Linked DNA regions of Schizosaccharomyces pombe. The gene in region 2 interacts genetically with the main gene of each other region. Each region holds a gene or a part of one and is shown on either strand. Other genes may lie near its edges.

Region 1 (5,199 bases), 1.0 Mb from region 2:
ATTTAATCCTGACTTTTTTCCATGATTCTTATGCTTTTCACTGAAATCCTTGAATGCTAAATTATTAGATAAATAGAAACCAAAAGCTAACCTTTATTACTATTGTGTTCAATTTCATCAATAGTTGCATGAACTCCATACTTCTGAGCGACTTCGCTGTACACAATTGGAACAGGTTTACTTAAATGAAGGATTGTTCCAAAAGCATCGAACGTAACCAACTTGATCTTTTGGATATTTTTTGAGGGAATCATAATTCCAGGTTGTACTTTGATGGGACACACTACACAAAGCAATTTACATAAGGTACTCCTTACCACCAGTGCGTTGTTCGGTGTGATAAATAATATTTGCAAATCACTTTTATTGCGAGCGATTGCGTTCTACATATTAAATAATATACGAATAGATTAAAAGTTCATTAAAAATTTATCATGTTACAAGACGAGAGACACGCTACAGCAATAGTAGTCGTTAATTTACGTCGGATACCTTACTAGGCGAGACCAAAAAACAAATTTCAGTAAATAATGCCATAACAGATCAAAACCTGAAAAAATAGAAGTATGATAATACCAAATGTCTGTCATATAGAATCAGTCCCACAAATACAAGCAAAGAAAAAGCAAGTGAAGGTATAAGCTAGGTCACATAATGATTTAAAATCTTTCATCGATAGCTTCCACTAAATGCCATATTGTACCTGAAGGCAGGCGAAGCCATTTATCCGTCGAATCATCAGCAGTACGATCTTCAATGGAAGTTACCCTTCCTAACATCCAGTCGCGGCTTTCAAGTTTCAAATGCGGTTGAGTGTTCAAATAATAATGAGGAGCGTTAACATTAAAAGCCGCCCACACCTTTTTGTTACCGGCGGTACGTCGAGTAGGCAAAAACAAGACCAAGGATCCTTGTTTGAAATTCCTTAATGAGACTTTACTTTGAGAGTCCAAAATAGCTTTCAGCGCCTTGTCCCTGTTAGATTGAAATTCACGTTTCCAACGAAGTTCATGATTATGTGCTTGAGTCAAAACACTGACAACAAAGTTATGGAAAGAGTCAAAATCTAAAGAACTCATTCTGTTCAAAAATTCCTGGAAATTCCTATCAGCATCCTCCCCATCCATCCAATAAAGATACTGTAAATCTTTGGAATTAAATTCAATTTGGCGATCTGGAATCGATGCATGGCCATCTCTTTCGTTATCTGAATCAAATCCAGGCTGAGTAACGCATTCCCGAAGAACAGACTGTAACTCATTACACCGGAATACAATGGTATAAAGTTTCTGAGTTAATATCTTACATTGTTCTTTTCGATTCTCGGAAAGTTTGAGTAAATCAGCTTTCTCTGCAAGAGCATAATCTCTCTCTTCAATAATATGTTGTACTGCTTCGGCATCTTTTGCAAGAGTAGCGTATTCGCCCTTTTGCTTCAAACTCGTGAGTTGAAGCTTGAAAGCATTATAAAGTTCTTGCAAGCTATCAACTTTGCCCTCAAATACGGAGTAAAGGTTTAATATGTTCGGTTCATTAGAATGCATCTCCTCGTTTGATTGCTGTTCTGCAACTGCCGCTTCATTTTTCGTAAGCAGTTTCCGTGTTGATGAAAGTTCCTCCTGTAAATTTTCGTATTTTTGTAGCACTTCCTCATTTTCAGTTTCGAGGTATTGGATCTTTTCTTCCTTCCCTTGAAGCTCAATTAATAAGTCCTCATTTCTTTTATTTACCAAATCTAATTCGTTGCGTAATTGATTAACCTCATCTTGAAGTCGTAATATGTGGCTGTCGGTAAAAGAAGTTTTGCGATTAGTTAATTTACGAATTACGTTTAGAGGCACAATACTAGGGGAAACACGGTAAAATGGCTGAGAAGAATTAGACTGCTCATTGATGGGTGGATGTGGAGCATTTGGAGATAAACCATCATTGTTAATGTTATAATTAAAGCCGTTTTGATGGCTTAACATTGCCTCTAAATTATTGCAACGATTTTGATACATTGCCAATTTTTCATGTAATGAATTGTTCGCTTGAACCGTATTGGAAACGGCTTCTCGAGGACTTCCAGGAAAGCCCAAATATTCTGAGAGCCGATTGCTTAGCATTTGATGAAAAGTTTGGTAATTCGGATGTGCTTGAATATTGAGTAAATAATTAGAAATTTCGTCACGAGTTAAAACTGGTAAGTACTTTAGCTGGCCATGATTAAAAAGCAAATTAGAGAAATGACTGAGCCAAGACTTCCTAAGAGAAAGCTCCTTCTCCTGGTCTAAAGGAAGAGAACTATCATGGCTTACATTGTATGATTCCTGCCATTCAGTCCTCCTCAGTGCCTCCATTAAAATGTCGATATATAGCGAAAAAATGTTTCGAGACTGAGAAAGAACGAATTTGCTTCTGTCAAGCTCTTCTGCTATTTGTCGAAGATATTCGTACAATGCATCATATCTAAGAGAAACCTTATAAAAGGAAAGCCAAAAAGATTTCAAAGATATTAGTGATGACTTTCTAGAACTTTTTAATTCCGACAGATTACTTTGAAGTTTTTCCATGCAATCAGTAATTTCGGTTTCGTAATTACATTTTGGTTTGATTTGAGAAGTAGTTGAAGTTGACTCTATTTTAAGGATCTCTTGCAATATATTGGCTGCATCCTGAGCGACGGAACGTAGATGATAATAAGCATCATCTCCTTCCTTGATTGAAGGAACTTCCTTGAATGGGGAAACGATAATACTATTTGCGGCGCCAATGCACTGTTGGACTCGTTTTTGAGCTTCAGCATAACGAGCTGAAATGGAGTTTAACCAGGAGTCCAATTTAGTCCAATTTGTTGAAAGTATTTTAAGAGGAGTAATGGGTAAAGAACCAGTTGGTAGAGCGAGGAAATCATGAAGTAAATCAGACACAGATACTCGATCTAGTCTTTCGTAGAAAACGAAAAGTAAATCTTTCATACCAGATTGTCTTCTTTGTAAATAATTCATTGCAACTTCTGGAGAAACAATACTAGTAGAATACTCATCATGGCATACGCTTAATTGATTATGAATCTTTGAAGAAGACTCTAAAATATCAGATAATAATGAAAGACACTTGCTGATTTTATCTTTCCATTGATCTGAAGAAGAATCAGCTATAATCCCAGTAAGTACATTAGATATTGGTTGTCCTTTCAGAGAAGGAATAGAAGGAATTTTATCACCATCGTAGGTGAAAGTCAACAAGTTTTGATCTAGTACGTAAATAACCACATCACTTTCACTATTTAGTACGGTTTCATTCAAAGACATTCCGTTCGGCAATAATAGTTTTGCTTCATCACTAAGTCCAATATTGAGCTCCATAATCCAAGCTACAAGATTTTGGGGAGTCCATTGTACATTATCTATGGTCCAACTCTTTCCGGAGAATGAATCATTCAATCGAAAACGCATACTGACCTATTGTATTGCTTAACTTTATCATTCGCGATTCCCCAACATTAAACTTGAAATATTTGATCTAAAAGAAAACTCAATATCAGTTATTTATAATCCGTTGCATATAGTTATTCTCTGTCCTTATATTCCGTTTTGTTTGGTAAGTTGGCGGGTTCTATTTGGTTTAGGCGATTGTTGGGTACTAACTACCAAAAGGAGATTGGCATTGTATGAACACTGAGTTGAAGCTGTAAGACAATACAGCTTAAAATTTCAAATGTCTTTTCATTTAGCTTAAAAAAACAATTTTAATTATTGGTTTTATTATGTTTGTCTACTGAAATATATGTCATATGTAGCCGTATACCCTCAAGCTGGTGGGTTCGGAAACTCAGCCTTAACCAAGCATCTACACTGGGTGTGAACGAAAGTGTTGGGGATGCTAATTTACATTGCGGATTTCATATATTTAATTTAAAGATATCTTCTACTTGTTTACTTTTCATTCTTTTAGAATACAAGTATTCTAAACTCGGAAGTATTTTTCTTGTTTTTTTAACCGCGAATCTTTTGGTTACCGATTTCTCTGTCTTTTATCGATAAAGTTTTTAAAAAATTAAAAAAGTCAAAATTTCTCTACTGTAGGAAAAACTTTTGAGCATCTTTTAGCATATTTGGTACATTTTTTTCTGGCATTTGCATAGCTTGTCCTTTAAATCTTCATTTCTTTATTAGTGGTGATTGCACGGCTCATGTTAATTAATTTGGTTTTAATCTAGGGATTAATTATATTCTTTTTATTTGCATTTCACACTTATTCTTTTCTTTACATTTAGCTTCATTTCTGAAATTCTGAATGGGTGACTTTCAATCACGATATGAGATCCTTGCCGCTATTATGGGTCCTCCCAATACAGCCTCCTTTAAAGAGGAAGAGCATTCGGGTTCCCAAACAAAAAACTATCCTGTTGTGGTAAAATGTATTCAGGAACATGATCCCGTCGATACAACCAATGTGCTTGTAGCTGACGACCTTGATTCGAACTTTGAACCATTTTCGATTACAGATGATTATGGTAAATATGAAAACACTTTAGTAAGCCATTCCTCAACAATCTTAAATGAGCCTTACAACGAATCACCCTCATCATCATCTTCTGATTCCTCTTCTCGTTCTACCTCTCCTTTTTCTCAGTTGTCTTCTCAAAGCCTACGCCTTAATGCGGAGGAGATAGCGCCTTCTAGCTTAATAAATAAGGCCGTCCAATCTACCTTACGTCTTTCGGAGCCACTGGTTTCTCCAATAAAGTGTCCTTTATCCGAGCAATTCATCAATTTTATTAATCAGCAGGATTCTGATAAGGTAGTTCTTATAAGAGGGTTTTTATTACCACATTTGGCTTCTTTAACCACTAAAAACGTTTCCGAACCGGAATTGGATAAACTTAGGCATTCTTTGTATAACTGGTGGGTATCCATTCTTCGACGTTTACAATCTAATATTTCTACTTCAGAACGTATCACATATACAAAGGCCATACTTGCTATCGCCAAGCATCATTGTTGGAACAAAGTGGAACACTCTGCTTTATTGTACTTGGAACACCAATTAATACTTTACGATACATTGACATTTGTAGTTCATCTGCTTTCTCAAAAGTCCTTGCCGTATTCATTAACGACATTTTGTGCGAGTATCTTGGTTCTCTCCTTTTTTCAACTTCCACTTTTTGCCGACCATTTCTTGAGCGCATTAGATGTAAAGAAAAAGTAC
Region 2 (2,567 bases):
ATATAGAACAAAGGAATGGAGACAACAATTGGCAAATTTTGCTCGTCTATTCGCCTGGCAAGTCTCATGCGATTTAGACAGTCATAAAAGAGAAGGGCCAGGCATCTTTGAAGGTACGGATGTCAAAATATTTGACTCATTTTAGACTTGAAATCTCCTTGAGGATTATGCTTGAGCGGCATATCTCCGTTTTAAGAATTGAAATGGAGAAATTTGAACTATCCTAAGTTTTGTATGTTCAAAGAGTCTGTTTGAATAGATACTTGGCTTTTTACATCTGTTTTATTTTTTTATTATTTCTTTTCACAAATTGGTTAAAAAAATGTTGTTTCGTTTTTCATTCAGAATTACCACTAGTATGTTACTACTTTTATCGTTATTTTACATTCTCAGTAACTGTTTAGCATTTACTAAAAGATTTTATGTATACACCAGGGATTTATTCTTTGTAGTTTAATAGATAATAAATGCAAATGCCAAACAAATAATGCTTCGCAATAAACATCGGAAAATCAACTCAAGTTGAAATATATTTTTTTTTCAATTGAGCACACTACTCACATAACCAAAGAAAAATCAAAACTATTGATTATTTAACCAAAACCATACTTATGTAGCTCCCTTCTAAAGGCGAAAATTTTTCGACGTTTTCTTATTTGCTCAGTAAGGTTTTGCAGCTAATCGTTAGAACACTATCATTATACCAATTAATTTAATAGAAATACTTACGCAATTGAGTAAGTAGTACATGAAACCGTTTTTTCAGAGTATAACGTTGTCGAGAATATTTATCGTCAGGAGAGAAACGAGCAGGATGCGAAGATTTTGTGACTCTTCCATCTGGAGATACCTTTTTTAAAGTATAAACACGCTTTCCCTCATCATTTAAATAATACATCAAATGCATTGTGAAAAAAAAAACGGATATTACAATTTTCCTATGGTGCTGGAAAGGTGTAAATGTCAAAAGTACCTCAACTTCAGGTGACTGTTTTTGTTGCTAAATTACGCTAAAGCATTATAACACAGACATAATCAAATATTAAATTATTTAGCGACTCTCTTCTTTTATTATTCACTAAAATTTAAAAACAATACTGTAAGCAGAATAAGCAATATGGGGTTAAGGATATAGCAATCTTCGTAAAATTAAAACAGCTATTGTCATTATAATAAATTAGAATAAAATAATTTCTTTTAAAATCCGAGTTTTCAGCTATTAAGAAAATGCGATTAATTATTGACCAAATCAGATCCAACTATTTAGTTTACATCTTTAACATACGTTTGCTTGGAACATTTAGTAATTGCACCTTAGTACACTTAACTTATGGGTTATTAAACAAGGGAGTTAAACCTCTATTTTAAGCAGTTCGTTTTTGATTGTCTTTCTTTAGGGAAATATTATTTTTTTTTTTTTATTGCGCATCTAATTAAGATAGATAATTAATTGATGTCTTTGCTTTAATAATCACTCAAAGAATTGCTCTTTGTCTCCTTTTCAAACATATCCATTAACGTTTGACTAAGTTTGTTCCATGCAACCTCCCCCATTGAATTTTCAAAAAACAAAAGTAAATTAACCAACCGCGGTAGAAGACTGGATTCTGATAAATCATCGTCAGAATATCTTTGTACTCTGATATATTTCCTTGAACAATTGAATATATGGCTCAAATTATCATTCCTAATGATACACTGTAATCCACCTAACTTTTGCACTGCCTTTAAGCTTGATGGGTAAATTATGTACGGACATTGTTTGTGATTATATTTTAGTAACTTCTCTGCTTCTCCGAGATCCAGCGTTTTCCCCACATCTGTAATATGCCAACAGAGCATTCGAATCGGGTTGATCAATAGTCGAGATATAAACCAGTGCGAACTGAATGATTGGTGGTAAAGGCTATTTTCAAAATTTCTTTGCATAAATTTTAAAATAAGTTCTTGTATAGCGATTCTCTGTTTCGGTGTAAGCGACTTTTGTCGCTGATGAACAAATTCTGACAAGTATTGAAACAACGTTGATTCATTGTATTGCTGACTATGTAATTTTGTCAGAGCGATTCCTTTCCTGGAACAGAAAAACAAATTTTTCAGATGAGTAGAAGACATAATTTGATACAGACCACCCATTGCAGCTACAGCATGTAGATGGTATCGTTCCAAATGGAATGGATGGGCAAATGATTTAAGAAATAAGCGGTTTGCCTCCTGTAATACAACCATTTTTTTTGCAATCATTAAATAAGAAATCAGACATAAGGTTGGCTTAACCAACAAGCTAGCGAGCAACGTATTAAATGAAGAAGAAAAAGAATTATTGAAAAGTTCTTTTTCGGATAACTCTTTCCTGGCGACGTTAAACTTTGAAACATATAAATCAAAATTTTGGTATATAGTCTTTTCTGATTCAGGAATAGATAATATTGAAATTGACTCGTTAGATATTAATTTATTAGGAATCACAGTTTTTATGCTTCGAGTAAACTTGTAAGTTTCTTTTTTTGTCTCCTCGACATTTATTGTTTCGTATAAAGAGTCAATCATGGCATCCCAAACGTCCA
Region 3 (6,317 bases), on a different chromosome or scaffold from region 2:
ATCTACCAATATTTCATCCTCCAAAATAAATAATAATCAAACAGAATTTGAACAATTACGCGATTCCTACAAGTCTCACGGCGATTTAAATAGCGCCATTAACGATTCACGTATTCAATCAATCATTTTCGAGCTTAATCAACAATGTGAAAAAGAGTCAATTCCCGTTTCTAATATCGATTGGCTTCAATGGGCCAGTGTGCCTCTTTTTGCTTATGACCTTCCGCCTGATCCTTCTAATCCCAATGCTACATCCTCCTCTCCCCCTCCCTTGACACCGATTTTAGAACTAATTAAACAAAATAACTTTTGTATTCCATCTCCGTGTCGAAAACTGGTCTGGCAATCCCTTGTTTCCGCTGAACGTAATGAACTTCTAACACTTTACGCTACTTTAAGTACTACTAATAATTCTTTGGATTCTTCTATTCGGAAGATTATTCGTATGCAATCTTTCAGAGGACCTTTGGAGCCTTTTAAATATTCTTCTACTACAAGGCATAAAGTTTCAACTGAGTCTATATTTCACGTTTTGCATGCTTTTACTTTGTTTGATACAACTGTTGAGTATAACATTGAACCTTTGCTATGGTTAACTTGTGCTTTTCTATCGTATATGGCTCAAGGAAACGCCTTCCGTTCGCTAGTTTGTTTCATTCAAAGAGGTGGAATTCGTGAGTTTTTCATATCCCAATCCAGTTCTCTTGACGAAAGTCTTTTCGCTTTGGTTTGGGGTTGTTTGGGTGACTTGGCACCAAGTGTCGCTATCTCATTACAACGTATAAAAGTTAGTTCATTGTGTATACTATATCCATCATTAGCATGCTGCTTTGCCGATTCGTTGCAATTACCCGAAGCACTCCGCCTTATGGATTTAATTGCTATCTACGGCTTGGAAATGTTTGTGCGTCTTCTTGTTGCTATTTTTTTAAAGGATCGGGACAAGATTGTAAATATGGTTTCTCATGAACAGTGGGTTAAGTATTTACGCTCAGACGTTTTAGCTTCATATCGGCAGCCTCTGGTCCAAAAGTATACATTTTACACAAGAACTCCTGTCGACTTAAATGCATGGGTTGAAGATTCACTTGCTCTAAACATCGATACTACTCAGTTCCCATCCTATCTTTCATATCACGAAACCTCCGTATCTCACAACACCTATCGCCAAAATAACTTAGAGGAACTTAAAAATCAAAATGATTATTTAACCTCTCAGATAACTAATTTAGAGGAGGGAATGGTTATGTTGAATAAGGAAAACACTAAACTTTCTGAAGCACTTTCCAACCATCGAGTAACAAGAAGCGAAATGGAGGAGGCTACAGAAATTTTAAAAAATAATTCTGCTGATCTGAAAGCTCAATTAGAGAAACAGCCTCAGGAATTGGAAAATAGGCTTCTTCAAGAAATCTCAATCCTTAAGCAGCGCAATCAAAAATTTCTTAAAAACAATGCTACTTCAATTCAACAAATACAATATCTTGATGAGGAACTTGGAAAGACTTTAAAGCAGCTAAATGACCTCAAGGAAAAACATGCTCAGCTACAAACTAAATGGAAAAGTGTCTCTGAGATGTTTAGAAATTAGCACGATAAACCAAAGATCACTCTTTATTGCTATTATTATTAACATGAAGACTAGTGCATTCAACACTTTTTTAATGATGGATAATTAGGACTCAATGAATGTATAGGCATAAAAATTTAGTGAAGTCAAGTAAACATAGAATAAACAACCTTAAAAAAATAATCATGTCATTTCTATTTCGCAGCGATTTAACTGTTCAAGAATTTGAGAAGGCATACGATATTCTATCAGGAAACTGTACATGACAATTCTTCGTGCTTTTTGTCTATATAGGCGTAACTTATCCACGGATATAGCGTCATTTCCAAAAGATGAAGATTTTTGTTTAGCATAAAGTTCTTTAAGGCTGTTCATGGCTATTAAAACAATACCAGGTACGTTTTGTAATAAATTTTCATTGAGAAATCGAAATTCTTTTGCAAGTTTTCTCACAACAAAAGTTTCACAGTCTGAGTCAAGTGGGTCAAGGGGTAAAATTTCTAACTGCTGTAAAGACGATAAAGCTTGTTCATAGTCTTTATTGGTATATGCATTGAACGCCTCCACAGTCAATAAAAGCAAATTCGTCGTCTCGCGATTTTTGTAATCCACTTTGGCATACAAAGAAGGGTTTCTGTTGTATACATCCATCATACTTTTAGTTAAAGATATAAGTTTATCGGGAAAAACAAACTGGTCCAAAAACCTTAGCAATGCAGAGCCCAGCCGTCTATTTATAACTGTTACTGCCGCATCGTAATCCTCAGCTAAATGATATAAAAGAATGGCATCAGATAATAATCCCTGATCATCAGCCTGTTTAGCAGCAGTAAGAGTGATTTTTGATAAGTATTCTTTTACAGAAGAAAGACCAATCAAAGACCTGTGATTCTCCAAAAAGGAAGGAGTCCTCTCGCCATCACCACGTATATCGCCAAGAAGATTAACATAATCACGAGTAGAAAGTACCAAACTGCACAGAGATTTATGACACATCGAGATATATTTATCAATTTTGCACATTGGTATAAGATAACAGGCAGACATTACAGGACTTAATTCTTGACAAGTTTGGGTATAATCGATTAACAACCGATCGAATTCAAGGGAAGGCTTCCCAGATTTTGTTTCAACCAGCATTGATTGAATCTTTCCAGGTTCATTACTGACAACTGAGCTAGAAGGTGCAGTGCGCAACAGACCGTAGTATGCGCAAGTAATGGCAAAATGGACTGCATCGGTTGGAAAATAAGGATATAAAAAATTAATGGCACGCTCGTAAAGACCACAAAGCATTAACAAAAAGAAGTACATAACGGGATTAGATCCGTTGTTAGTAAAATAATCGGAGCCATACGAAAGCAAAATATGTTGAACATCTTCCAATGAAAAAAATTCGTGAGCGGAAACGCTTTTTTCAGTAAATTCACGTGACAAAATTAACTGGAACCAGATGTAATCTTCAGTGACAGAACAAATCGATGGACACGAAGTTTTAGAAAGGTCGCAGCGTCCAATTATTTTGTATACTGCATACTTATAAGGATCAGAAGATTCCTGTAGACGAATGGTTTGATTAAACTCAGAAAACAATTGACTCCGAAGTTGCCTTGGTAAAATACCATTCGGAGCCTTCGCATAAGCATTGATATAAAAAGGAAATTTCTCAGCCACCTTTTCAAAAAGATCTCTGTTTTCTTCAGTAAAGTCCACTGCTTCCTTTAAAAAACCACATCGTAATAGATAGAATATGAAAGCCCATATAGGAACATCTTGGATTATTTCTAAATCTGGATTAATCCAAACACCGTTCCTTAATAGACGAATGTTCAAATACGCTCGAATTTTGTTACGTATTGAAGGAACACCGCCTACCAAAGCAGCCTGGGGGGTTTTTGCAATTTCCTTATTCAAAACTTCAAAAAATTGAGCTTCAAGGAACTTACGGGAACAGTCAGAAATCCTTTGATAGAACCGAGAGTTAACCGAGCCATCCTCAGTCTCAATGTCAAAGGCTTTTGAGATTATGCCTTTATTGCCAAACACTGTCACAGAATCCTTATCCAATATAACAGAGGAAAGTAACTTCCAGGATTCGTAAAGGAGAAGAGACTTTGTATCATGAGCAAATTCTCTTGCAACCTCACAAAAAGAACTGACAAGCTTTGATTGAAATCCGTGCAGTGCTTCCTCCTCAAGACACATTTTTAAAGTGGAAGCAAACTTCTGCGAACGTTGCACCGAGAAAGGATAAAAGGATACTCTCTTTTTATTTTCAAGTAAAATATTATCAAAGGAGGGTCTGCTTTTTGCAGCTTTGGAACGCCATTCCTCTTCCAAATATTGATCGAACGCTATTTGGGTGTTTTGTACCAATGCTTCCAAAGAATTTAAAACATTTTTTTCTCGATGATACTTCAAAAACATATCTACATCGGTAAAGGACAACTCGAGAGTAGTGGGAGGTCTTACTTGTAGAGAGAGCGACTCAATTTTCTTCCATGTTTGTTCGGCATTAATACCGCTTCCAGCAAGCAAATAATGGCTATATCGTTCATTAGACAAATATATCTAATAGGATACAAATAACTTACGCTTTTGTATTACCATCCTTACTAGTAGGAACGGTGTTCAAGTAATGTTTTGCGCGTTGTTCAATCTCACCCAAATTGAACTGGATAAACGGAAGACATGGTTCCAACAACTCATTAGCAAGTTTACGAGACTTTTGATCTAAAAAAGGTATGCCTCTAGCTTCCTTTGGTGAATCGTCAGACGCAACCGTCATGGCGATGGTCAAGATGTAAACAAGCACAATGCGTTTGAGAGAATCTGTCTCGGTGAACTAAGGAAATTGAAGTCACCGAGTTCACCGAACCTTAATTGTTAAAAACAATATTTCATACTAAACAGGTCAACAGTAAAACGTTAAAGAGTATTTGAATCATCCTTGTACTCGGTTGGAATTACAAATTCTTATGCAAAAAGCTTTGCTTTACGTATACAGCAAGTGTGAAGTCAAGTCTGTCTATGTGGATGTGAAAGGGCTTAAAAAGTATAAAATTAAAAATTTTAAAATACTATTTTCAAACATCGATTGTTCTCGTTTAGCTCTTACTATCATTTAAAAGCCAATACATATGAATTCACAGAATCAGCAGTGAATTATTTGGGCCCTTAGGGACAGCAATAGGGAAATGATATTTAATATTGGTAAAAAGTGTTCAGAATTTAGAGAAATAACTGAATGGATGATATTTCAAACCCTCTTACTACTAACAGCCGTGGTCGCTCATACTCATACGTTTAATGACCCATAATTGAATATAGGATTAAGAAATCGTCAGAAATTTAAAAATAAATATATATAAACTAGCAAAAAATATTTTAGTATAGATAAGGCTACCATTGTCTCGTGGTGTGCGATTTCCCAATAAAGCTATTTGCTATAAGCGTTTTGCTTTTGTAGGTAAATATCAAAGCCATTAGTTAATTAAAGGAAATGGGACAGAATCTGGAAAATCAAGTATTGTGCCTCGGTTGACACTCGTAAACTAGAAGAGATTATGTTCAACTCGCATTACAATATCATATACATGAAACCAAATAGTCTCCTCCATTTTCAGCAGAAGAAATAATGAAATCGTTAAATATTTACATGCTGATTTCGTTAGAGATTTATTCAAAAACTGATTACTTACTCCTCAATTGCCCACATATGTGCCTCGTGTTCTTGTGCCTTTCTCTCATTTTGGCGCTGAAACCATTTATTTTCAAATCCATTACCACGAATAATTCCATCCCAACGATGGCCAGGTCGTATATTAAACCTATTGGGAGGCGCATATCCTTGATAAGTAGCTTTTGATGATACAGGTTTATTAGTGAGAAACGAAGCAGCTGGGTCATTCCAACGAGACCTTTCTTTCAATTCCTTATTGTATTCAGGATCGTCCTCATAACGCGCCAATGGCACCGTTTTTTGCCTTTCAAGTTCTTTTAGGTATTCTTTCTGTTGACGCACTTGAACCACACCTTGTTGTTGTTCCTTCTGTCTTCTAGCTTCTTCCTCTTTCTCTTTTAATTTTCTTTTGGCTTCTTTTCTTGCAAGAACCAGATCTATCCTTCTCCCTGTGGCATCTCTGTAAACAGTTTCGCGACTTTTGCGAAGCTCTTCCTCATCAAGATTGGATGATTTCTCTTCTCTCTTTCTTCTTTCTTCAGCTTTAAAGGTCACCTGCTTTCCAGTTAACAGACCGAACTGAGGAATTGATTCAGCATCATGAGAATCCTGTTGTTCAGATTCGACAACTTCATCATTCCCCACAGCTTTCCACAACTGAGCAGGTTTATTAGTAGTTTTTTCTATATTCTGATAAATAGCATCAATATCTCGATCTTTAAGGCTTTCATTTGCGACAATTGTAGGGGCATCATGCAAAGATGTGAGTTCTCTGTTGACTAGTGAAAATGAATTGTCATCGTCCCATCCAGCGACATCTTCATCCTGAATTTCTACAAAATCCTTCTCTTTCTTCTTTTTCTTTTTCCCTTGATCTTTTCGTAAATACTTTTTAGCAATATAGTCGGCGTTTGACATATGTGCTGAATGCATATTTTCTTACCTGAGCGCTTCTTAACTCGCTACCTTCCAACACCGGCGGAAGATCAGTATTGACATATTTTATCGGAGAACATGGATTCACAAGAGACAAAAGTTTTTGAAAATGTAAAGCAGGAAAATCCT

What was found. Genes that interact genetically often act in the same process or in processes that back each other up.
Region 1: mutations in nop10 (region 2) and atg11 together harm fitness more than expected from each alone (negative genetic interaction), as found in Schizosaccharomyces pombe (one large-scale study listed by BioGRID).
Region 3: mutations in nop10 (region 2) and nup97 together harm fitness more than expected from each alone (negative genetic interaction), as found in Schizosaccharomyces pombe (one large-scale study listed by BioGRID).

What each region holds. Positions count from the first base shown.
Region 1 is NC_003424.3:2,629,930-2,635,128, forward strand, and holds atg11 (autophagy associated protein kinase regulator Atg11), read right to left. Parts: upstream 3,623-5,199; 5' UTR 3,441-3,622; coding exon 660-3,440; 3' UTR 519-659; downstream 1-518. Other genes in the region: SPOM_SPAC7D4.05 (hydrolase), read right to left, coding at 1-56, 92-254; protein ahk1, read left to right, coding at 4,282-5,199. UniProt on the Schizosaccharomyces pombe protein: Involved in cytoplasm to vacuole transport (Cvt), pexophagy, mitophagy and nucleophagy. Recruits mitochondria for their selective degradation via autophagy (mitophagy) during starvation.
Region 2 is NC_003424.3:1,634,598-1,637,164, forward strand, and holds nop10 (snoRNP complex protein), read right to left. Parts: upstream 908-2,567; coding exon 730-907; exon of another isoform or gene 678-729; coding exon 661-677; 3' UTR 514-660; downstream 1-513. Other genes in the region: SPOM_SPAP27G11.12 (uncharacterized protein), read left to right, coding at 1-145; SPOM_SPAP27G11.14C (uncharacterized protein), read right to left, coding at 1,465-2,567. UniProt on the Schizosaccharomyces pombe protein: Non-catalytic component of the H/ACA small nucleolar ribonucleoprotein (H/ACA snoRNP), which catalyzes pseudouridylation of rRNA and is required for ribosome biogenesis.
Region 3 is NC_003421.2:2,163,073-2,169,389, reverse strand, and holds nup97 (nuclear pore complex component nup97), read right to left. Parts: upstream 4,370-6,317; 5' UTR 4,359-4,369; coding exon 4,165-4,358; exon of another isoform or gene 4,116-4,164; coding exon 1,754-4,115; 3' UTR 1,592-1,753; downstream 1-1,591. Other genes in the region: SPOM_SPCC1620.12C (GTPase-activating protein), read left to right, coding at 1-1,591; protein Cwf26, read right to left, coding at 5,225-5,231, 5,272-6,170; transcription factor TFIIF complex alpha subunit Tfg1, read left to right, coding at 6,267-6,317. UniProt on the Schizosaccharomyces pombe protein: Has a role in meiosis.